3 linked regions of the Oryzias latipes genome follow. The protein of the gene in region 1 interacts with the protein of each later gene in a pairwise test. Links are inferred from orthologs where the notes say so. Each region holds a gene or a part of one and is shown in the gene's direction. Other genes may lie near its edges.

The links. The genes of interacting proteins can lie anywhere in the genome.
Region 2: the proteins of tsen54 (region 1) and clp1 interact in binary tests that used the Homo sapiens proteins (3 or more experiments, as listed by UniProt). The link is inferred for Oryzias latipes from reciprocal best matches to the Homo sapiens genes TSEN54 and CLP1.
Region 3: the proteins of tsen54 (region 1) and tsen2 interact in a two-hybrid assay, tested with the Homo sapiens proteins (2 studies listed by BioGRID and IntAct). The two-hybrid records come from large-scale screens. The link is inferred for Oryzias latipes from reciprocal best matches to the Homo sapiens genes TSEN54 and TSEN2.

The regions. Positions count from the first base shown.
Region 1 is NC_019866.2:1,091,751-1,099,491, forward strand, and holds the end of tsen54 (tRNA-splicing endonuclease subunit Sen54), read left to right. Parts: intron 1-38; coding exon 39-197; intron 198-1,407; coding exon 1,408-1,471; intron 1,472-1,548; coding exon 1,549-1,632; intron 1,633-1,705; coding exon 1,706-1,804; intron 1,805-1,887; coding exon 1,888-1,940; intron 1,941-2,103; coding exon 2,104-2,211; intron 2,212-2,284; coding exon 2,285-2,684; intron 2,685-2,925; coding exon 2,926-3,061; intron 3,062-3,126; coding exon 3,127-3,187; intron 3,188-4,887; coding exon 4,888-5,001; intron 5,002-5,242; coding exon 5,243-5,393; 3' UTR 5,394-5,655; downstream 5,656-7,741. Other genes in the region: 5-hydroxytryptamine receptor 3A, read left to right, coding at 7,412-7,678.
Region 2 is NC_019868.2:14,102,072-14,109,690, reverse strand, and holds clp1 (polyribonucleotide 5'-hydroxyl-kinase Clp1), read left to right. Parts: upstream 1-2,869; 5' UTR 2,870-2,959; intron 2,960-2,967; exon of another isoform or gene 2,968-3,060; intron 3,061-3,259; 5' UTR 3,260-3,261; coding exon 3,262-3,534; intron 3,535-3,627; coding exon 3,628-3,735; intron 3,736-3,827; coding exon 3,828-3,947; intron 3,948-4,608; coding exon 4,609-4,746; intron 4,747-4,848; coding exon 4,849-5,535; 3' UTR 5,536-5,679; downstream 5,680-7,619. UniProt on the Homo sapiens protein: Polynucleotide kinase that can phosphorylate the 5'-hydroxyl groups of double-stranded RNA (dsRNA), single-stranded RNA (ssRNA), double-stranded DNA (dsDNA) and double-stranded DNA:RNA hybrids. dsRNA is phosphorylated more efficiently than dsDNA, and the RNA component of a DNA:RNA hybrid is phosphorylated more efficiently than the DNA component.
Region 3 is NC_019863.2:19,267,619-19,275,488, forward strand, and holds tsen2 (tRNA-splicing endonuclease subunit Sen2), read left to right. Parts: upstream 1-3,120; 5' UTR 3,121-3,292; coding exon 3,293-3,463; intron 3,464-4,029; coding exon 4,030-4,096; intron 4,097-4,187; coding exon 4,188-4,227; intron 4,228-4,294; coding exon 4,295-4,522; intron 4,523-5,377; coding exon 5,378-5,507; intron 5,508-5,578; coding exon 5,579-5,653; intron 5,654-5,730; coding exon 5,731-5,781; intron 5,782-5,866; coding exon 5,867-6,011; intron 6,012-6,118; coding exon 6,119-6,155; intron 6,156-6,234; coding exon 6,235-6,346; intron 6,347-6,413; coding exon 6,414-6,503; intron 6,504-6,703; coding exon 6,704-6,763; 3' UTR 6,764-7,300; downstream 7,301-7,870. Other genes in the region: mkrn2os (MKRN2 opposite strand protein), read left to right, coding at 760-809, 945-1,113, 1,183-1,405.

The DNA.
Region 1 (7,741 bases):
TGAACTTGAATCTTGGACTCGTCTCTCGCCCTTTCCAGTCCCTCGGAGCTGTTTGCGGCCCGATCCCGCAGTCGGAAGATCCCGGTCCGAGGACAGAAGGACTTCTTCCCGGACGAGTCTGAGGAGCAGAGGCAGCGGCTGCAGCAGAGTCTGGACGAACACTGGAGCCTGGTCTCAGAGGAGAGGGTGGAGCGCCTGTGAGTGCACGCCACCTTCAAACGCATCGAAGGCGTCTGTTCCCACTGCAGCCCCCCCGGTACCGGCCCGTGAGACAGTGACTGGGCCACACAGAAAAAAAACACGGCCCAAAGGAAGCTTCACTTTGGAAAACTCGGTCACATGTCATACTTTCTGAAAGCGGCTGCTCTGAGTTGAAACCAGCAAAACTAACATGAAAGCAAACATACCTGGAAAGTTTCTTTACGCAGAGAAGATCCAGAGAGGAAACAGAAGAAGAGCCTATAACTTCAAAATAAAAGCTGCATTTAACAGACAAAAATATGGAGTCTTCATCCCTAACATGGAATCATTGGGACCATAATAATAATTCAATTCAATTCAATTTTATTTGTATAGCCCAAAATAACTACAACAGTCGTCTCGATGGGCTTCGAAGTAAAACATGAACTCAAAAGGATCACGAATGCAAAGAGTTCAATAGGAAAATACTAAAATGAACTAACAAACTGACTAAGCTATACTGGCATCCCTGCCCTTAGACCCCCCTTCGCGGTGAGGAAAAACTCCCAAAAAAACGGATTCCAGAAAAAACGAAGAAACCTCAGGGGTGCCCACATGAAGGAGGGATCCTCCCCCAGGACGGACAGGCGATTTACCAGAACTCATAGAGAAGAATTAACTTATCTAAATCTACAACTACATACTTTTAATAATAATGCAGAATATTCAGCCATCCGCTCTCTAATGTTACCGGGATGCTGATAATAAAGCTGCGTCCAGCTTGTTGATTGTTATTTTTAGAAAGCATCAGTTTTAGTGAACTTTATTTTCTTTTTGCCGTCACTCCTTAAGGGTCAGAGGTTGAAGTTGGCGTCTGAATCTTTAGCTTTAACCTTTAACCCCCAACTTTGTCAGTTATGGGTTCTTACATGTAGAAATAAAGTTGCAGCTGCGGGTGTTTTACAGAGAATGGAGATAAACTTTAACCACCAAAGTTCTACTGGAAGCTAAAAACAAAAATAAATAAAACCAAACTGGAGATCAGGCCTGTTCTGCCTCAGCGGCACCGATGGTCAGAGCTCCAGCGCCTCCCCAGCAGAAAATCTGTGGCGAAGATTCGCCTCCAATGTCGGTTTTCCACATTTATCCTTGAAACTGGGAGAGTTTTAGCATCAGGAACTGTGGTGCTGGCTTTGGTTCAGCGTCCCTCCTCTTGTCTGTCTGCAGAGGAAACCTGGTGAAAGGCGTGTGGTTGCCGTGCCGGCGGCTGGTGGAGCTGCAGTCTCCTGCCGTGAGTGCTCTCGCTCCGAAGCCCTTGTGCGGCCTTCCTCCCGCGCTCTGCCAGCCGCTCCTGTCTCGTCTTTGCAGGGAAAGTTCTGGCAGACGGCGGGCTTCTCCGCGGACGGAAAGCAGTACCTCCTCCCAGAAGAGGCTCTGTACCTGATGGAGTGTGTGAGTGGAAGCCGCCGGCTCAGGTGCACAGGTGAGGGAACGGGCGCCTGAACCGCTCTCTGTGTGTGAGCAGGGGAGCGTGCAGATCTTCCACGAGGACCTGCCCATCTCCATCCAGGACGGGTACGAGGCGTTCCTGTCTGCAGACACGGTGACCCTGCAGCAGTTTCAGGTGCTCCTCGGTGACCCGCTCCACCCTGCTCCACCCACCGGTGGTCTGCAGGTCCATCTAAGCGCTGTCCCGTCTGCCCACAGGTCTTTGGACACCTGAAGAGGCTCGGCTACGTGGTGCACAGGTTTGATCCCGGGTAAGAACACCTGAGCTGCGGCTGGACGTTCAGGAGGAGCTGCAGGTGGAAGTGAGGCTCCGCCTGCGGATTCTTCCGGTCTGCTGGGGTCGGCGGTGAAAGTCTCTTTTCTCGCCTCCTCGTTTCTGGACGCTCGTTTCCATTTTCGTTCATGTGCTCGCAGCTCCGAGCCGACGCCGTACGCTCGACAGCTGAACCTCCCCCTGTCCCGGGCCAGAGCAGGACGGGCGCCGAAGAGGAGGCGGAGCTCCAGCCCGCCGCAGACCTGCAGGTGAACCTCTGCCTGAAGGGGGGGAAAGTCTCTGATCAGCAGGGGGTTCACGCCATTTCTCTGCCGTCTGCAGCGGCGCCCTCGCACAGCAGGAGAAGATGGAGGCGGGGCAGTGCAGCTCCGGGCGCCAGCCCACGCCTGCGGAGGAGAAAGACCCCAGGAGCCCTGCAGGTGGAGGCGAAGACGGGGGCCAGGCTTGGTGGCTGTCTGAGGAGCGCACAGGTCAAAGACGGACTCACAGCTCCGCCCCCTCACGCTGGGACTTCAGCGGCCTCGCTTTCCCGGACCTGGGTTCTGGGGAGGGGCTGGTGGCCCCTCCAGACCCCGCCCTGCTGCCTGGGGGCCTGAGCGTGGGCGTCTGTGACGTAGCCTCCTGGAGGCAGAAGGTCAACCTGCGGAGGGTTAAGGTGTCGGAGAAGGAGCAGAGGAGGGAGGAGGTCCAAGGCAGGCGGATGCAGCAGTGGAGCAGAGAGGTTAGTCTCCGCCCCTTTCTGCTGAAAGCATGGCGTTCTCATCACCTGGACCTTCTGCTTTGGTCCGAGTCCCACAACGCCCTTTCTTTGACCTCTGAACCTTTATGCTTCCTGTTAGACGCTTGAGAGCGTCACGCTATTCTCTGCAGAGAACGCCAACTTCACGGCGCCGCAGACTCCTGACCGACACGCGCAGAGGACCACGCCCACCTGCTCACGCCGCTGTACGACTTTCTTTCAGGTTCAGCGGTGCAGAAACTGGGCGGAGTATCAGGAGCTCCTGGAGAGGCGAGGGGCGGGGCATCCGGGCCAACCAGCTCACCTGTGGAGCGGCGAGGTCACGCCCTTACATGACCCAACGCATCCCATCACCACAGGTGAGTCTGGTCTGCTGTGGGAGGTCATGTGACATGTTTCCAAGTTGACCGGCGTCTCACTGCAGCGGAGCTGCTGGAGAAACTCCGAGTCCTCCAACCGTCTCACCTGCTGGAGGGCGCGTCCAGGTATGTTTCTGTCACCGACTCTAATCACAAACACCTGATTATTCATTCTAAGAAATTGATAAGTTATTCAGCAGATAAAAGATGTTCACTGACTCCGCCCCTCACCGTGTCGCTGTGGCGCCCTGCTCCAAAAATGTCACGGTTTTCAGTTTTCAGCTTTATTAACCCCTTAAACCTTTATTTAAGATTGTTATTACAATAACGAGCTGGAAAGTAGAGAAATACAAAGGTAGATTAAAGCACATCAAGAATTTACATCAAGAAAACTATTCAGTCAAAAGGAATCCTGGAAAACTGACATTTTAGTTCCAACATCCAGGATTCAGTCTGTGCATCATTCCAGTCGTTTGCTGCTTATTGACGGAAAGAGAATTCTCCATAATGTGATTTCACTTAATGATAAAGAAAATGCTGTTTGACGTTTCATTTTCAAAAAGTTCTTTAGTAATTAGAAATATCTCATTTCAAAATCATTTTCTTAATCCTTTTAATTAAGTGACAGAAATGAGCGGTTTTGAAGAAGAAAAAGAAAAAGCGTTTTGGTACAGACTTATATTTTTAATTATGCTACAAAAATGCTTCCATAGTCTAGTGTGATGTCAGCAGTAATAATAAAAAAACATCCATTTATCCTTCTATTGTGGTGCATCTCAGCCAGAAATGTAAAGTGTAATGAACTAAAAATAAAAAGGAGCTCATCAAATGACCTTTACTGTATTTTTCCAACCATGAGGCACAATTGAAATCTTATAATGCTGGGAGTATAAATTCATATTTTGCTAACTGGCCTCAAATATATTGAGCACAAAAATCTTTCAGTGTTTTGGTACGACTTTGATGAACACAGGATTGGTGGATGGAGATTTATGGCTGCGTTTCTGGATGCATACCGTCCTTTAACTGGTGGTTTATGAGCTTGGGTTAGTTTACTTCACTACTTGCTTACTTTTTAGCTAAACAGCTACTTTTTAAAATCAAAAAACATTTGATTTTTCTTTAACCAGAGAGCCTCAATGGAGGGCTCAAAGAGCTGCAGGTCGCAGACCCCTGGTTTAGGAGCTGATCTATAAATGATGTCATCACAGTCGAGCATCAGTAGGATGGTCATTTAAAACAAGGTCTTCTAGCAAACAAAGTGATGGATGTGCACATGCGATGAAGAAAGACACGGTTAGGCTTTTGATTCTTCTGTGGTGTGAGAATGAAGGACAGGTTTCCAGTCAGATGCCCAGATATTTGTATTCAGGAACCTGTTCAAGAAAAGTTTGAGGTGGTGATGTTTAGAAATGTCCAAGACTGACAACAGCTTTTTCTTTCCAACCACATGACTTTAGTTTGAGTTCAATACGAGCCTCAAAGAGCACAAAGATTCCTGGACTGAGTTAAAACTCTCTTGAAACGGTGCTGCTACTGCCTCTGGGCCTGATGTATAAAGAATTGTGTCGTCTGCGTAAAGACGGATGGATGACCCTCGTGTTGCTGCAGATAATTGATTTATGACAGCAGGGTAGACCCTGGAACAGACCCCTGTGGCACTCCACAGGTAACATTAAAAGGTCTGATTTTAGATGCTGTGATCTGTCTGAAAGATAGTTAATAAACCAGCCAGGGAGTCACTGTAAACACCAATGTCTGCCAGTTTATTGACGGGGGTGGACGTTGTTGTGCAGAAACAGATTTCCCTCCTGCCGTCCGCTCAGGTTAAACGGTTCTGACCAGTGGAGGATCAGCTTCAACGTCTACCAGCCGGACTCGGCGGCCGATTTCAAGAAGAGCAACCCGGGGAGGCCGTATGCGCGCATGTGCGTGTGCAGGTGAGCGCTGTTGACTCAGGGTCGCCTTGCTCCAGAACAGCTTTGACCTTTTAAGAGGAATCCACGCCCCCTTGCTTACTGCCAAACGGCTCATCTCTGATTGATGAGTCTTTCATTTCAGAGAAAGGTTGACAGGATTTGAGTTTAAAACCTAAAATTCTCAGCCGCGGTCGCTGCAAACCGCCTTAAACGTGGTCAAACCGGTGATGCTCAGAAGTGACGGTCTCCCGCTGCTCCTCAGCTTCCAGGGGCCGGTGCCAGACCTGCGGACCATCAAGCAGCTGGCCTTCCAGAGCGGAGACGTCCCCGTCGTCTTTGCCGTCGTGGACTATGGGGACATTTCCTTTTACACCTTCAAGGACTTCCAGCTGCCCCAGGACGTCCACCCCTGACTCGCCTCCGTCCGGGAGGTTCCAGGAGCCGCCGCTGCTCCTCGTCGCTCTGTAGACGTTCAGACCGCTGGTTTGAAGGTTTGAGCTGTGGAAAGACGGCCTGTTGGCTCCGGAAGCCTTCTGGGACGTCACATCCATCATATTCTATGACATCCTTTCAGAAAACTAAACTGCTGAAATGAAATGTTTGCATTTAAACAATAAAGAGTGAATTCATGATGTCACCAGTGCAGCCAATAAAGCAGCTCTGCTTTCAGCAGAAGACTTTTGTTGTTTTTGACCTGAAACTGAACCTTTTTTATCTCAACACGTAAAACAGGCTCCGCCTTCAACATGTCTACCAGGAGATGGCGCTATACGGGCTAATTCAACAAGCTGGAGCCAATTTAAGATGGATTTACAGGCGAATACCCCAAATGGCAGACTTTAGGGTCCTGATATTTATAGAGTTTAAAGTTGTAATATTTTTCAAAGCGTTCCAAATGCTCTTTGAATTCTGATGACGCCGTTTTTAGCCAAAATCTAAAAACCTTTGTCGTAAATAGGACATAGTTTCTGCAGAGCGGCAGGACTTCATCAGACATTTGCTTGTGGCCCCGCCCACTGCAGCTTCTACGTCACTGTCAGGCTTTTTCAAACTGCATTTCTCATCTGCTCCTGATCCACAACAACCTGAACTAGAAGGAGCTGCTTTTCCAGAAGAAAATTCGGGGTTGATGGTATATTTCTGAATGAAAATGAAACTTTAAGGGTAATAATTGGCTAGAAATGAAGTGAAATCAGCACAATAACAAAAATGATATGTTTGTGAAAAATGCCAGAGCCGGGTATCGAACAAGCGAGCTTCTGCACCGAGGATTCCCCATGTTTTTCAATGGAGGCAAAAATCCTGGAAATCCTGTAAAAGTTAAAGTATTTGAAGAACCAGAAGTCACAGCTGGAAAAAGCTGAAAGAAATGAACATTTGAATAGATGAACGGTTGAAATAGCTGTAAAATTGTAGGAGTTAAACACCAAAGAATGGTGGAAGATACTAGAATAAAGAAAGAGAAACAGGAAAACAATGATTGATTGAAGGATTTATAGCATTAAACCAAATAAAGAAATACTCTGAAATGCAATTTTAAGCTTAATGTTCTTTTAAAATGTCCTCCATGATCAGACAAATGCTGCAAGAAGATGTTAAAAACACAGTTTTCATCGATTGTGTCCTTCAGAAATGTGTCTGGAGTTTTTTAGGAGCCCGTTTCAAGACCAGGAACATGCTTTTGGAACATCTCAGCTGCTTGTTTTAGGCGTGTCTCTGGAACAGGTTTTAGTTTTTTCATTCATCTTCTCCCGTTTTATTCCCCTTTCGGGGTCACAGGGCTGCTGGAGCCTATCCCCGCCACTTGTAGGCAAAGCCAGGGGGCGTCCTGGACAGGACGCCAGTCTGTTGCAGGGTAGAGTGACCACAACCACACACTCACACACTGTCACATTCACACCTTGGGACATTTTAGATTGACCCATGAACCTAAACCCACATGCACTAAACCCTACGTGTTTTAGTGCATGTGGGTTTAGGTTCGTGTGTTTTTTAGGTCCGTGTTTCTGGAGCACTTGTGTTGCTGGTTTCAGGTCTGGCTTTTAGGTGCATTGTAGGTGTGTGTACCTGTGTGCGTCCTTCGGCAGCATGTTTCAGGTCCACCTGTGTTTACAAAGGCCTGTGACACAAACTAAGGGCTGAACAAAGTGCTCTGCAATAAGAGCTTAATCTCTGCGTTTGTGTTTCAGAACCTCATGCAGGACTTTTGCTGACTCCAGGTGATGTGAGCTCTCCCCGCACAGAGATGTTGACTTTTCGCTGCAGCTGCAGCTCCAACAATAGAAATGGTTGGGTCATCGGCCTCGGAACACAAAGAACCTTCTTTGGTTCACATAATCAAACACATCCATCTTGCGCCTTTGTGTGGTGAACGTCTGCAAACATCTGGATGCTTTAAAAGGCTTTTCAGCTGAAGCTGAAGCACTCGGCCATGGCAGCCCTCCGGACGCGCGGCGGCCCGGTTACGGCCCTGAACGCCTCCTTAAATTGGATTCTTTTGCTCTGTTTTTGGATGTCACACTGGTTTCCTGCTGGTGTTTCAGGCAGTCAGCCCTCAGACTGCTCTTATTATGGTCTGCTGAAGTATCTGAACCTGACAACACCCAGTCAGGTTCTGCAGATCATCAGACCCGTGCAAAGCTGGAACCACACGACAGCCGTCTCCTTGGACATGGTGATGTACGGCATCCTGGATGTGGTGAGTGGCTCCATGAAAGGCTCCTTCTGCTCAGTCCACAGCTTTTACGACGTGTTAGCCAAC
Region 2 (7,619 bases), on another chromosome or scaffold:
TTTATCAGCTTCTGATCCATCACGATTTGAACAAAGAAACACAGTTTTAATCTTCAATACGTTATATGTCCTCCATTATGACAGAAATGTACAAGAACATGTTAAAAATACTATGTTCATTGGAGAGGGCCTTAAAGAGCTGTTGTGTTCTAGATGCTGTGGCAATCCCTAACAGGATGAGCCAAAAGGTGAACAATAACATAATATGATGTTTAAAAAAATCTTTCTCATCTGTAGGAAATGTGATTGGTGGAAGCATAATGATGAAGAGTGATGAAGGAGATCTTCTCAGTCCCTCTTCTGACAAACTGAGCTCCAACCTATGACTTCTTCTGGGCACACACTGCCACCTAGTGGATCATCTCAGCTATTTCAAATCTTTGTTGAAAGTTTTTGTGCCTTTTTTATTGGTGTTGCTTATTAATAAAAGAAAATAATCTGTTGTTGTTTTTGTTTGTTTTTTGTCTAAGAGAGAAATTTAAAAAGAAAAAGCTTCATAAACTAGCAATAAAGCTGAAACTTTTCAGAAAATACATCAGAGGGAAAATCATTCCATTTATGTTTTATTTCATTTTTATTTACTATCATTAAAACGCTTTTACTTTGGTTAAAATTAACACACATTTGGCCCTGCCATTAAATACTTTCCAAAAAAGTGATTTTTTTTTTTTACTTTTTGACTGGTGATTACAGGACAAAATATTACAGATAAATGCAGCAGGTTTTCTTCAGAAATTCAGTTCCTAATTTCAATGATGCATGATATCTTATTCTCATATATGGTGTAAAATGGGCCATTCATCATTGCTAATAAAATCATCAGATTTCTTTAAAAAAATGTATATGTAAAGTTATGTTTAAGTGTAAAAAGGAATTTACCCTATTTTTTCCACAGGTCCATCTGTTAAACTGTTCTTCCCTCTGGCCTGTCATAATGGTTATTAGTCTTTTTATGGGAGTGATACCTGATATATTTCAATTTTACTCCAATAAGTCCAAATTGTAAGATATGGCAGTAGTTAATTTTTTACATCCAGCCATGACAAGTATAAATTAAAGTATGGGTATGCTAATTTTGAACACGGATGAATATATTTCCTTAAAAAGGGTCTGATTCTGCCCAGACACAGTTAAGACCAGGGGCCTCATTTATAAAACTTTGCGTAGGATTTGCGTCAGAAGTGGCGTACGGATGAAACATAGGACGTGCGTACGCACAGAAATATTCGGAGTTATAAAACCGTGCGCACGCACATCCTACGCATCTTTCCCTTAATAAATCACAACCGATTCTAAATGCTGCGCAGCTTTTGCGGCTACATGACACGCCCATAGTTGCCCATAAATAGTCCGTGAAACGCCCACAAATGAATATTCATTGATTGCGAAACCATGCCAAACACGGAGAGAAAATCAAAAAAACGTAACTTCACTCAATGTGAAGTAGAAGTTATCGTTGGCGAGGTGGAAAAGAGGAGAATAATGTTGTTTGGAGGGCACAGTGTGGGCATTACTAATGCCAAAAAGGCACGTGAGTGGCAAACGGCGGCAGACGCCGAAAATGCTGCAGCCTCACAACCTCGGACCGTGCCCGAAATAAAAAAGAAAAGGTCGGACATCAAAGTCGAGGCAAAAAAACGTCTAGCGCTGAACCCCCCCCCCCCCACACACACACACACACCCGTGTCTGCCACGAGTGTGTGTGTGTGTGTGGGGGGGGGGGGGGACACCGGAGCTGACCCCTCCTGATGAGAGACTGGCGGCAATAATTGGGGAATCCCTTTTAAGTGGAGTGGTGACTGAGGCGGAGGGGGACACCCACGCGCCAGATGCACCGGGTGACACACCCCCAAAAGCCCGCAGAGGAAGTCGGAACCGGCTCATAAGCCACTCGTCCTCGTTTGCCAGCAAGTCTCCTTGCTGTCTAAAGATGCGTTCACTCCGAATTCTTCCATTTGCCACATCTTCTAAGAGAGCAAGATCAGCCATTGTGCGTCATTACGCATTGTGATGGGGCATTTTATTTCCCTCCATTTAATTACATCTGACAAGCTACAGATGTCGGGAATAATCGACGTGGAAATGGGAAATTGTTCAGCGCAAATGTAATTTCTTGTTGCTTTCTGAATGGTCGAGACAAACGCCATACATTGTTTCATGAAAAATAAAACAAAATAAAGGCATATGCATGAATACCATAATTCTGTAGCTTATGAAGAAATATTTTACTATGAAAACAACTTTCCCCAGTGGAGAATTAATGCATCTCTCTCTATCTATCCATCTGTCTGTCTGATTGCTCCTATATCTGCTCCGCCAGACGGACACATTGACGGGAATATCAGTTGTGTACATTATTTCGTTCTGTTAACTATATTATTTATATTATTTATGAGGATGAATTGCACAACATGCCAATATTGCAGAACATATTTCACTTTTCTTTTTGCAAATATGTGCTCATTTGAATTTCTGTTGTAATTTTTGTTTGATTTTTTTGTTTGTTTCACTGCTGATCGATCAAACGGGTGTTCGTGTAGGCTGTTAATTGTAAGACTTGCTTTGTGAAGTCTTCATGTTATTTATCAGAGGCAGTATTGTCATTTTCACTTTCACGTGTTTCTTCCATCTGCCGACGGCGTCGCCGTTTCTCATTTCATCCGTTTTTGTGCGTACGCCTGGGTCAGAGCTTGCGTGAAGGACCGCACATTTTCCCGTCAAGTTTGCTTTTTATAAATCTCAACTATTGCGTAGAGAGTGGCGTACGCCTTCTTTTGTGCGTACGCAACGTTTATAAATGAGGCCCCTGGAATCAAAACAGAATCAGTTTATAGAAAAATCACGAAATATAAATCACAACCACGAGGGGGCAGCAATGCAGCGAGCGAGAACGCTGTTCTTTCTTACTATTGGTTGCTAGAGTCTTGACGTCATCATCCTGCGACGAACATCTCACTGGGTACACAATTTTTTGGTTCTGTGCTTAAGCTTTGTATATATCAGTATAAGGACGCGAATTATACAGTTTTGTATTCATTAAGCAAATTTGAAGACATTTAGGTGATCTCTGTTATTATTTATATTTGTTCGACATAAAACCCCACATTTCTTCCTTTCCTGCTAATCATCAGTTAGCTTGCCTTGTCGTGTGTTGTTTGACCATTTATTAATTAATGTTGCATTTACCTTTAACTTAACGATATTGTTGTTTTACATGTTGCACCCTGTTATGATTATATAACACCGTTTCTTTCTACAGCGATGGCAACAGAGTCTGTAGAAAAAACTAGCGACGATGCTCCGGCTAACGGCAAAGATTGCACCCGATTCGACTTGGAGAAGGAGACCGAGCTTCGGTTTGAGGTGGAAGCAGGAGAGGCCGCGGAGCAAGTGGAGCTGGAACTCCTGTCGGGACTGGCTGAAGTGTTCGGTTCAGAACTGAACCGCAACAAGAAGTACGTGTTTGGACCAGGATCCAAAATAGCTGTTTTCACCTGGCAAGGATGCAGTGTGAATCTTCATGGAAAGCCAGAGGTGAGTTTAGGATGAAATAAATAATCAGTCTTTTCTGTCCAGTTCTCCATATTAACTTCGAAACATCACCTATTATTTTTTTTTTAACCTCAGGTGGCCTATGTGTCTAAAGATACTCCCATGCTGCTCTACCTGAACACCCACGCTGCCCTGGAACAGATGAGAAAACAAGCAGAACGGGAAAATGAGAGGGGACCAAGGGTGAGGAGCAGCCAGATGGCTAAAATCCCCCCCTATAAATGTAACTTCTCTGTATATTTTGTATTACAAATACATATTTGCTGGCTTTCCAGGTGATGGTGGTGGGTCCCACAGATGTAGGGAAGTCAACAGTGTGTCGAATGCTTCTCAACTACGCTGTCAGGGTTGGCAGGAGACCAACCCTTGTGGAACTGGATGTTGGACAAAGTGGTGTAAGTACATTTAAAGTTGCACAACTTTAAATGTTTTAACCTCGCTACTATAGTCCAGGGAATGGTGTTAGATAGTATAAGACAAGTTGTGCAGACCTAATCTTTATAGTTTTTAAAGTTTTCCCAATGTAAATGGTTTAAATTAAGAAACAAAGCTTGTTATCACTTGTTAGTTCTGAAAATTAATCGTCTTGTCCTCTGTTATCCATAATGCTAAGTAGTATTTGGTTTCATTTATTCATATAAAAAAACTGCATATTTTCAGTGATAAATCAAAAATGTGTGTTTGAGATATTTGTACATCAATGACTAATTTCAATGTTTTCTAGGCATCATCTTTGAATGTCAAGGAGTTACCAAAACACTAGTCACAATCTTGTTGCTCATTGGTCTTTTTTTTCTTTCTTTCTTTTTTTTTTAGCTATTGTACTTCTAAGATGGTTGAACTGTTACTTGTTGTAACATGTGTTTCTGTATAATGACTTGCTGCAAGTACATTTGTTAGTTTTTTTTTTGTTTCCTGTTACAAAAAGTACATTATTTTATTTGTAGGATGCAGATTATTTGTCTTTGTAAACCTGCAATGTAAATGTTGAACAGTTCAGATTTCATTGTGTAATGAATTTACAGTAAGGTGTGACTAAACTTTGTTCTCTCTTAGGTGTCAGTACCAGGGACGGTGTCAGCGCTGTGCATTGAACGGCCGGCGGATGTGGAGGAGGGCTTCTCTGTCCAGGCTCCTCTGGTCTACCACTTTGGCTCCACCACTCCAGGCACCAACATTAAACTTTATAACAAGGTTAGAAGATTGTAGATATACAGTCATTTTATGTTTGTCATTGGCTGTCATCATTTATGCTGTTATTTTCTACTGCTTTTGTGTTTTTATCACTGTGGTTAGCTGACATCCTGCCTCGCTGAGATGTTTTCCCAGCGCTGTGAGGTAAACAGGAAGGCCAGCGTAGGAGGCTGCATCATCAACACCTGCGGCTGGGTGAAGGGTTCAGGATACCAGGCTTTGGTCCACTGTGCCTCCACCTTTCAGGTGGATGTGGTGCTGGTTTTGGACCACGAAAGGCTCTACAATGAGCTTAAACGCGACCTGCCCCACTTTGTGCGAGTTGTACTTCTGCCCAAGTCTGGGGGGGTGGTGGAGCGCTCCAAAGAGTGCCGGCGGGACACCAGGGATGAAAAGATCCGCGAGTATTTCTATGGATTCCGTGGAGTGTCCTACTACCCCTTTTCCTATGAGGTGCGCTTCTCTGACGTCCGCATTTACAAAATTGGTGCACCGTCTATCCCAGACTCGTGCTTACCTCTAGGGATGTCTCAGGACGATACGCAGCTAAAGCTGGTGCCTGTCACACCAGGGAGAGACCTGACGTACCATGTTCTGAGCGTGAGCAGCGTTGACGACGGAGACGAAGGTGCAAGAAAGAGCATTGTGGAGATTCCTGTGTGTGGTTTTATTGTGGTAACTTTTGTTGACACTCAGACACAGGTGATGAAAGTGTTATCCCCAGCACCCAGACCTCTCCCCAGACACACTCTGCTTATCATGGACATACGCTTTATGGACATGAAGTAATGCAGAACATACTTGAAGTGAGGAGAGATGGGTGCATTTGTTTAAAAGTTTTTGGTGTTTTGTAAAAAACCTCTGTAACAAAGTACCTCAGCAATTTGTTGTAAATGATGACATATTTTTAAACTTTTATGTACAAATGCAAAATCTGTCATGTCATTTTTTTCAGTTCCTTAAATAAAAAAAGTATTCTTTGTTATGGAAAGAAAAAAAGTATCTTTTGTATTTATTTTCGTTTAAAAGAACAAAGATTTAGCATTCATTGTTTAGTGTGTGGTTAATCTGAGTCATTTTTCTATGTTTATCCAGAAATTGTCAAGATTTTCTTAGAAACTGTCATTCCTTTTTTTTTCTTCGTTTACCTTGCGTCAGGTGCAAAATATTAGAAAACGAATCCTTGCAAAACTTCTCCTTTTATGATTAGTTTTCAAAATGTAGACTTAATAGTGCACTAATGTTAAAAAATTCAATTGTAAAAACTACGTAATGTAAGTTTAAAAAATTCTGAATTTTCCAATGGGAGCAACCAGCAACCACCCTTAAATCAAAAATAATGGACATTTTACATTTTAAAGTACTATAACAGACATTTTAGTACCTTTCTGACAGTTTAAAACAAGTAAAAGTGTTTAAATTAGAAGTTTGTCATACTTTTCAGTGAAAAAGTGAATGTCTAAAGTTTTGAAGTATGAATTAAAATAGGTTATGGAATATATTCCTAAATCATCTGTTTGGTGAAAAGGTGGCCTAAATTTCTTAGTGAAATGTCTGCTGGGAAACTTCAGTCCAATAAGTCAATTTTCTCAAGTTTTGTTACGCGAGACTTAATTCCACCACAACTTTTCTCTTCAAACTTGGATATAGTGCAAAAACTCTTACATTTTGCACAAAAACCAAACTTTATATTTACATAACTTCTATGATACTAAAATTAACAATGTAAATCCATTACTTGACGATAAAGAAGAATGGTAGACATATAATCATTTCATAGTTAAAAACACAGTTGTACCTCAAAAAAAGTTAGAGCTGGTTTTACATGAAGTCCACATTGTTGACATTAATTGATATGAAGTGTACAAACCGGTTTATTAGTACTCAGAGAACTGCAAATACTGTAACCAATGTAAACAGAGCCCTTAAGAAAAAGTTAATGGAATACAATCTTTTTATAACCTTATAGGTAGTCAAAGAATTAAAAATTAGATATTATCCAGTAAAGATTATTTTTGTCGATTTTTCCCTGTTTGTTAAAGTAAAAAAAAAAGCTCTTTCTGTCAGTGACATGGAGAACGGCTATAACATCTTTTTGTGGATTATTCTTTTGTCTTTATAATTTGGAAGGATCTACAACATACCTTAGAGCAGGGGTGTCAAACTCATTTTCACTGAGGGCCACTTCAGCATAGTGGTTGTCCTCAAAGGGCCAGATATGACTTATACGTGAAACTAAATGTAATGAAAAATAAATGTAACTACTCCTTAATGTAAAAAAAATCATGACTTATTTATTAGAACTTTTTAAAGTGTCAATTACAGTTCCAAAGAAAACATGTTTGCTTGTTACTCTAGCATTAAATCCTTTTACATTTTGTCCACTTATTGAAACCCACATAACTCCATTAATGATGGATCAAAGTTAATAAAGAAAAATAACATAAACTGAGCTAGAAAGAACATGTATTACACGTGTAACATTTTACAAAGAAAGGCTGCACACAGCCTTGCATCCAACTGATGGTTTGATGACAATTTTACAACAGGAGCTACACATAAATAATATGTAATCAACTAAAGAAACATTTTATTTTAAGAAATTAAAAACTTTTTTTTCTCCCGCGGGCCACATGAAATGACATGGTGGGCCACATTTGGCCCCCGGGCCTTGAGTTTGACTATAAGATATTATTTATCTTTAATGCTTCAAGTTTGCTTTCCAATGACACATATATAATAAACCTAATCATAAACCATACATTTTTCAAATATATTTACATAAATGAAAATAGTCAGCAAAATAAAAATTAATAACACATAATTTTAAAGAAGCTGACTTAAAAATATATGTATGATTTATTTAGAAAATT
Region 3 (7,870 bases), on another chromosome or scaffold:
AAGGTTTTTTGTTTCTTTTTAAAGATTTGAAGACAAGGTTGGAGTTGTGAAGAACCACTTGTACGTGTGGCTGTGTTTCCTTAACTCTCACTGTGAAAAAGGAGTTTAAATCTCCTTTTAAATAGATGCTATATTTTGTGTGGGGGGGGGGTTTATATACAATATTTTTCAACAAAAAAGACACAAATCATGCAGCCGATTCGAAAACCATGTCATACACACAAACATACTGTTTATAAGAAAAGAACCCTCTCCATTCCCCTGTTGTAGGCTAACCCATTTCCCCATTATCCTTTTCAGTATTTGTTTCAACACACCTGTTTTCATTGAGTCTGTTTAGGGGTTACTTTCTTTAAATGTTTGTATGTGTAAAAAAGGCAGCAAGTTTTGAAACAAAAGCTTCTTGCACTTGGTTTACTAACTGGATTTCATCTATCAAATGGGCAAAAATAAATGTGTGTACTGTAACCCACCTACAACATCACCAAACACCTCACAATCCTTTCAACTTCATTGCTGGACAACACCTTACACCCCAGCATCCAGAGCTTTGTTAGCAAGGTGCATTATATCAAGTTGGTATCAAGTAACACAGATGACACCGTGGTCTGCTATGATGTGTCAGCCCTTCTGATCTACATCCCCACTGCGGAAACCACAGAAATGGTGAGGACAAGACTGGAAAAACATACAGCCCCATCTAACAGAACCAATCTGACACATGTATATAACCAGTTCATCCTACTGTGTGTTATATAGCGACTTCAATGGGACTTCAGATCTGCACACTGGGATCTCCAATACAAAAGGTAAAACTTGTTTTTGGGGAGTCCAACTTCTCTTCTCTGGAATTCTGCTGGCTGCTGTGAAGACAAGAGCACAGTTAAATTGTTTTGGAAGCTGTCCCTCATGCCTGCAGCTCACCTTTGGGTACCTGTGTGCAGGAGTGGTGTACAACTACACCCAGAATGGGGTGCAGAAAGAACAGAGAGGCTGGGAGCGCTGCATCAACATCCCTTTGGTCCGACCAGACATGTTCCACCTGTTGGCTCAGTGGGATCAGTACTTGGAGCGCTTCTCAGAGGGACCCATGTGGGACCCTGTGTGGCACAGGTAACTCACAGGTGACACAGTCAACACAGGTGATGCCAGTCAAAGCCCCTACCCACCTTTGTCTTCCAGATTCCATGAAGACGACCACAACTGCTTCAGCTTCTGCCTGCAGTTTCTAAATACCGTCCTGACAGTGGAGGGTTGCAGCTCCCTGAGCAAAGAGGATTTCACTCGCTGCTTCATCTTGCCAAGGATGAAGAGGGTGTCAAAATATACCACACTGGTCCAACACATCGAGAAACACCAGTTCTACATGGTGGACCGACCGCAGGCAGCAGAACCCAGTAGCTAAAGTGGCCTGACCTTTGACCCAATGAAAACAGACCCACTAGACTAAGGGTGAATTCAGACTGGACACATTTGGTTTGTTTTAAGTGAACCAGATTTCATTCCTGGATAATCCGGAACAAATTTTCAGTCTGAATACACCCAGGTGGACCCTGGTCCAGGACCAGACACCGCTCTCTGACCCATCTTTGGAGGGGGTCTTGGTTCATTTCCAATCGGACCAAGCTTTGGTTTGCTCTGGGATTCCTCAGTCTGAATACAATCCGTCCTCTGAGCGGAACAACTGAACCAAAACAGCCCCCATAGCTGACGTAAACAGAGTAGGAATGAAGGAACCGATGAGCTGCGAAGAAATGTGAAGCAATGATTGTCATGTTATCAAAGAGGGAAAAAAAGAGTCCAACTGTTTACTTGTTACGTTTGTTTTAACTCAGCTGAAAATGCGTCTTACATGCTTTTCTGTGTGGTTACGCGGCATGCACCCGGCGGTGCTGTAACGTCACCATAAAAAATACCTTGTAATTCCTTAACAGAATTTACTTTAAAACTATGCCATGAAACCAGAACAATGAGACACAGCACTCATTGAAATTTGGTTGGATGTATGCAGGCTCATTAAAACACTTTTCAACGTGACACACATTGCTTCTTATACTGTTTTCCCAACAAGAACAAAGGATTTGAATCTGAATACACCCTTAGCGGTCACACTGACACAAGTTCTGAATGATATATTGCTTTCCAGCAGCAGTACGGATCAGAACAAATCAAAACTGGCTCATAAACCATTCAGTACATAAACTTTATTCTTTTAAAACGCACTTCTTAAACCAGAAGATTTTCACCCAGTTTGTCTCCATCTGCAGAGACGACACCCCGACATAAAACATAAAGTCGTAAACATAATTGGGATTTTTTTTTTTTCTCCAACATGTTTCTTTTTTATTGGTGTTTAAAACTAAATGTTGATGGATGTCTGTTTTATTTATTCGTTCAATGAAGCAATAACAAAACAAACATGTATCAGAACTGTGCAGATACAGTAAGTGTGGAGGGATTCCTCAGAGTGGTTTTATTGTTGCTAAAGATCATTTTGCCTTTTGTTTTGTTTTGTTTTTTCTTGTTTTTTTAATTTTATTTTGCACAATATTTAAACATTTATCTTGTATTGTTGTTCACCTTTCGGTTTATTGAAAATGAGCAGGATTTTTCTGCTCATTTTTATGTCTGACAAAACAACACAGGAGATAAAGACATGTATACACAAACATGAGCAGAAATGACAAAATACAAGTTCAAGCAAACACATGGCTGATTTAAAAGATTTCATGAGGCATTTATTAAGGCACAGTAAAATTTTCTTGAAGGATGTGCAAAATTGTCTGACCTCTGCTGGTTTATTAATGTGTAACATAGAGGATGGAACTAGTAATAATTTTACATTTTTGACAAATTCTGGAAATGAATATTTTTGTTTCAGTTTGGTGTGATGTATTACACTTATCCCATGTTCAGTGGAGCATTTATTGTTGTTTTTAAATTAGTTTGTGGTAAAAACTAAATAAAACCAACTAGGAAACCTGTATAGTTTCCTTTCAATTTCATTCATAGTCATTATTGTAGACAAGCAAACTTTAGGGAATCATGGACTGTTTGTATGTCGCTTTAAAGGTGGATTGTAGTTTACCTCCATGCCAATAGGTGGCTCTCTTGAGCAATTTTGTAAAAGTATGAGTAACTACAGAGAAAAAAATTCGAAAGGACCAGTTTGATTAGAGAGGACCCACGTGCACGGCAAAACCCACATTTATTCTGGTTCAGAAAACAGTACACAAATTTCCAGGTCAGAATCCCACAAAGAGGTCAGCCGTTTAGTAACGGGTCCACAGCAATGCAGGCCGACTTCCGCGCTCCCCGGCGGCGCGCGCGTGTTTACGAAGAACTGGAGGCTCCGCTGCCGGTCATCCGTAGTGCCGGGGAGAAGTGCGTGTACCGGGCTGAGCTCATCAACCAGCACGTGCTTGTCTGCCACCCCGACCATGTCAGGAAGATACACAACCAGGTCAGGGTTGCCAGTTCCGACTCACTGACAGCAAAGCAATCCTGCAAAATGTTACTGAAAAGATCCAGTGTAGATTATAGGATTTAGTTTAGAATGCCTTAATTACATGAATACTATTTTTGTTCGTTTAATGCCGTCGCACTGATACATTATAGGTGCATCTGCAGCAACAGTTAAATGTGCTGGACTCAGATAACTGTTAAAGCTGGGCGTAAATTTTGTATTTCTCTGATGAAAACAATCTATTGCATCCCGTCTTTCTTTTACCATAATAAATAATCAACGAGAGGACTTCATCATCATGCCAAATGATAATGATCAATAAATCAAAACTGATCAAATCAAACTGAATGTAAACCCTTTAGTTTCCTGGATGGAAAGCTCTTAAAACGGGAAGAAACATGTCAGTTTGTGTTTTCATTATTGTCTTCTTTCCCACCTTGGTCCTATGGTGACACTATTGCTGCTCTATGCCTCTGACTACAAGGACTAGCAGTGATGGAAAGAACCAAGTAAAAACTAAGGAGATTTACTTCAGTTTTATCTAACTAGGTTTGATTTTTCAGGGTTATTTTGGAAAAGGCATCTTGTCCAGAGCCAGACCAGATCACAGCATTTCAGAAAAATGGGAGGGTGAGTCTACACCTGCACCTGCATGAGATCATCATTGATCTGGTCTAACCCACACAGCTCTGTGCAGTCAGCTGGTTTGTTTGTCTTACAGATTTCGAAGATTTGTACCTTCCCGTTGTCTCTCAGGCCAGGTTAGCAGCATCTTGTTCTGTCTGGCTGATGACATCACTTCCTGCCTTACATTTCAGTCTTTTACAGGTATGAGGAACTACTTGGATGGGCAAAGGCAAGTCTGTGTGCTCAGGGAATGTCTGCAGAGGCTGTGGATCAAATATTTCACAAACTAACGCAGAAATTGGAGATAGAGGATGTGAAGAGTGAACTGAGGGAGGCTGAGGGGGCAAAGACTGAGGATGGAGTTTGTGACAACACAAAAAGTCTGGGAAGGGAATCTGAGGCGGAGCCTGAGGCCAAGAGACCATGCAGGTGAAGTGCTTGTTTCATCCATAGACATTTACTAAATGGACAGATAATCTCTGATGTCACCCAAATTCAAAACACCAAAATAGAGGTGAAATGGGTCTGCCAAGTTGACTGGAGTATGCTCTTCCCAGTCAAAAATGGCACAAGTTCTTTAAAACCAGAGGTGTCACAGACAACAGGAAATAACATGCTCTTTGACTTATTCTAACTCTTCAATCGTTTACGGAATTATTGAGAAAAGCAGCTTTGTGCTGATATGCAGCACTTCATTACTGAAAAGTGTTGCAAAGAATCAGCTTCAGTGTCAGAATCTGTTGGAATTCTGACATTCTGAATGGTCAAAGAGTTACTGTAATTCAAAGGGGAATCAACAAACACCGGAGCTAAAGCTCCAGTGTTGAAAGGTGAAACACTAATAAAATCAAAACAGCAAGCTGTCGAGAAGAGTTCATAAAGAAATAGAAAACAAAAAGGTTTTGTATTCAGCCTGTACATACACTCCCATTTTGGTGTGAAGTGGGATTTTCTTTTCCTCTCATTACTCTGGAGTGGGAAACCTTCCCTTCTCAACTTCTGTGCCGGTCCCAAGCCCGGTTGCTTTGAGAGGGTTGCGTCAGGAAGGGCATCCGGCGTAAAACATTGCCAGGTTTACCATGCGACTCGTTCGCTGTGGCGACCCCTGATGGGAAAAGCCGAGAGAGAAACAACAACAACTCTGGAGTTGGAAACTGCCCCTTTTATAAACCCAACTCTAGAGTTCATTTAAGGAACTATAACATTTTGATACCTCTTGGTATATTTTAAACTCAGAAACAAGACATGGGGGTTAACTTAACTGTGTTTTGTTTCAACACTCAGGTCGGACATACAGGACCTAAACTTTGACCAGAACTCTGAACCCAGTTTTGACTCCGATCAAGACTCTGAACCAGATCTTGGCTTTCAGGTTCCAGGTCCTGGTTTTGTGCTGGTAGTCTCTGAGAACCAGGCAAGTCCCTATATGAATCTGCATGTTGTTAAGTGTTTGATGAGCTGTTAATTAGGTTTGTGTTTCTACAGAATGAAGGTGGGGTTAGAGAAGTGAAGCGGAGCCCATTGTCTCTAACTGAGTACCTGCAGCTCAGCCTGGAGGAGGTAACCCACCTGGCACCTGCATCCACAGTTGGGACATTTAAGTGGCCTTCTCACCTTTATGTCCCTGAACTCTGCAGGCCTTCTTCCTTGTCTACAGCTTGGGCTGCTTATCTGTGTACCTGGACCAGGTGAGTTATGATTGTTTTGGCTGTTATATTTGTTGCATTGCTATATATGAAGAAGTAAACCCTGTTGTGCATTGTGGTTGGTCAGGAGCCACAGTCAGTCATTCAGCTGTGGCGAAGGTTTAGGTCTCTACGTCCGGACTTCACCAGCTCTTACGCTGCATATCATCATTTCCGAAGCAGGGGCTGGGTCCCCAAAGGAGGCAGCGGGGCCAAATATGGTGTGGACTTCAGTAAGATCACACACAGAGCTGAGACCTTTTACCTGTGTTTGTGAAAGAATTTTCCTCACACTGAGGGGACAAGAGAAGCTTGATAACTATAATGTGTTTTTTTGCAGTGCTTTACAGGAAGGGACCCCCTTTCTACCACGCCAGGTGACGCTCACACAGGTGACTTTACTCTGATCAGCCACGGTTTTATGAGTGTCTAATCATGCCTGTCCTCTGCCTGTAGTTACTCTGTGGTTGTAGAACAAACTGATGATGAGTTCAGGGGCTCAACTCTGCGTCCGTTTTCATGGCGTTCTTTTGCTGCCCTTAGCAGAATTACCGCCAGTGTCTCCAAGGTACAGATTCATCGGGAGGAGGTACACTTGGCCTGCCATGTCCCTCTGATTGGTTTTTATCTCACAGGAGCTGATGCTGTGTTACATCGTGTATCCTGGTGAGCTACTGAAGGAGGAGCTTGATTCACCTGTTTGCCTGAGCAAGCTGAAGGTTCAGGTGTGGAGCTGTGATGTTTGTTCAGCGTTGCTGCCAGTTTTCTAGTTTTAGCTATCTGCTGTTCCTCATCCCTCCCCATCTGGGTCTAGTTGGTTTGTAGATTTCACAGCTTTCTGTTTGTCTCCTTGGGCTCCAGAAATAAAACTGGAGCCCAGCACACCATATCAGTGAGCATGATCTTCTACATTTTGTCTCTACAGGAAGTCATCATTAGCAGGTGGGTTTCCTCCAAGGAGCGAGCCGAGCAAGATGACGACTGATTCAAATGAATTCGCAAAGAACAGTTTGGAGCCAATCAGGGACGTGGATCATATTGAGCTCATGAACTTTCTCGTGTGTGGAGTATATAGAATATGCCTTCTTCCTCAAACAGGAGTGGGAAGAAAAACAAGGAGAGAAATGTAGAAAAAATCTTATTTCCTTTCAAATATGATCAGAGCAACTATGACAAACTACAGAGAACGGAAATCATCTTTCATCAAATGAGGACTTAAAGGTTAGTAAGCCTGACAGCTTGAACACAAAGAAATATGACCACTCTCCTTTAGAAAAGGACAGACTGAAGGATGCTCCTCTCTGTATTGTAGTGTAAGTTTAAAATGAAGCAGAACAACCATGACTTTAAAATCTAACTCTTCTGAACAGTCTTCCTTCTCAAATATGCTGTTTTCAATCTAACATGGCTTCACATCTCTTAAATAGTGTGTACCTTTGTAAATACTGTAAAAAAAAACGATTTTTATTTTTGCTGAATTCCTGCAACCAAAAAAAGAAATGTAAAATATAAATATTATTTCAAAAGCGTATGTTTTATTTTTATTTGTGCATTGAAAAAAGGTTTTTCATATTTATTAAACATTTGTCGTTTTGGCTCAACCAGTAGAAACGGTATGGACACACCACTGTCCTTGTTAACCCTTGTGCTATCTTATGACCCCACCCTTACATTGACATGTTCTCCCTACCGTGACAAAGGTGGATAAAGGTGGAAAGATTTCATGTAATCCATGGACACCAGTGAAGATCACAAATCATTGAAGAAAAAAGGTTCAGCGCACTGTCTAGTGGGTCTATATGACCCCACTCCCAATGTTAAAGTGCCTAGGATAGCACAATGGTTAATGAAGGATAAAAGATTTATAATAGTTGAAAATATTTCTTTTAAATAGTGGCTAATATTAAGGAATTGGAGAGATATGTTAAACACATTTTGTGCCTCGAAATAAAAACGTCACTTTATTTTGTTGTAATAAAATGCTTACATTTACAGTGCTTTATGTGTAGTACTCCCAAAATACTTTTTACTCATTTTCGCATTTTGCTCGCCAAAATCTTATACAGCTGGTGTATTATTGTTCAGTATACCT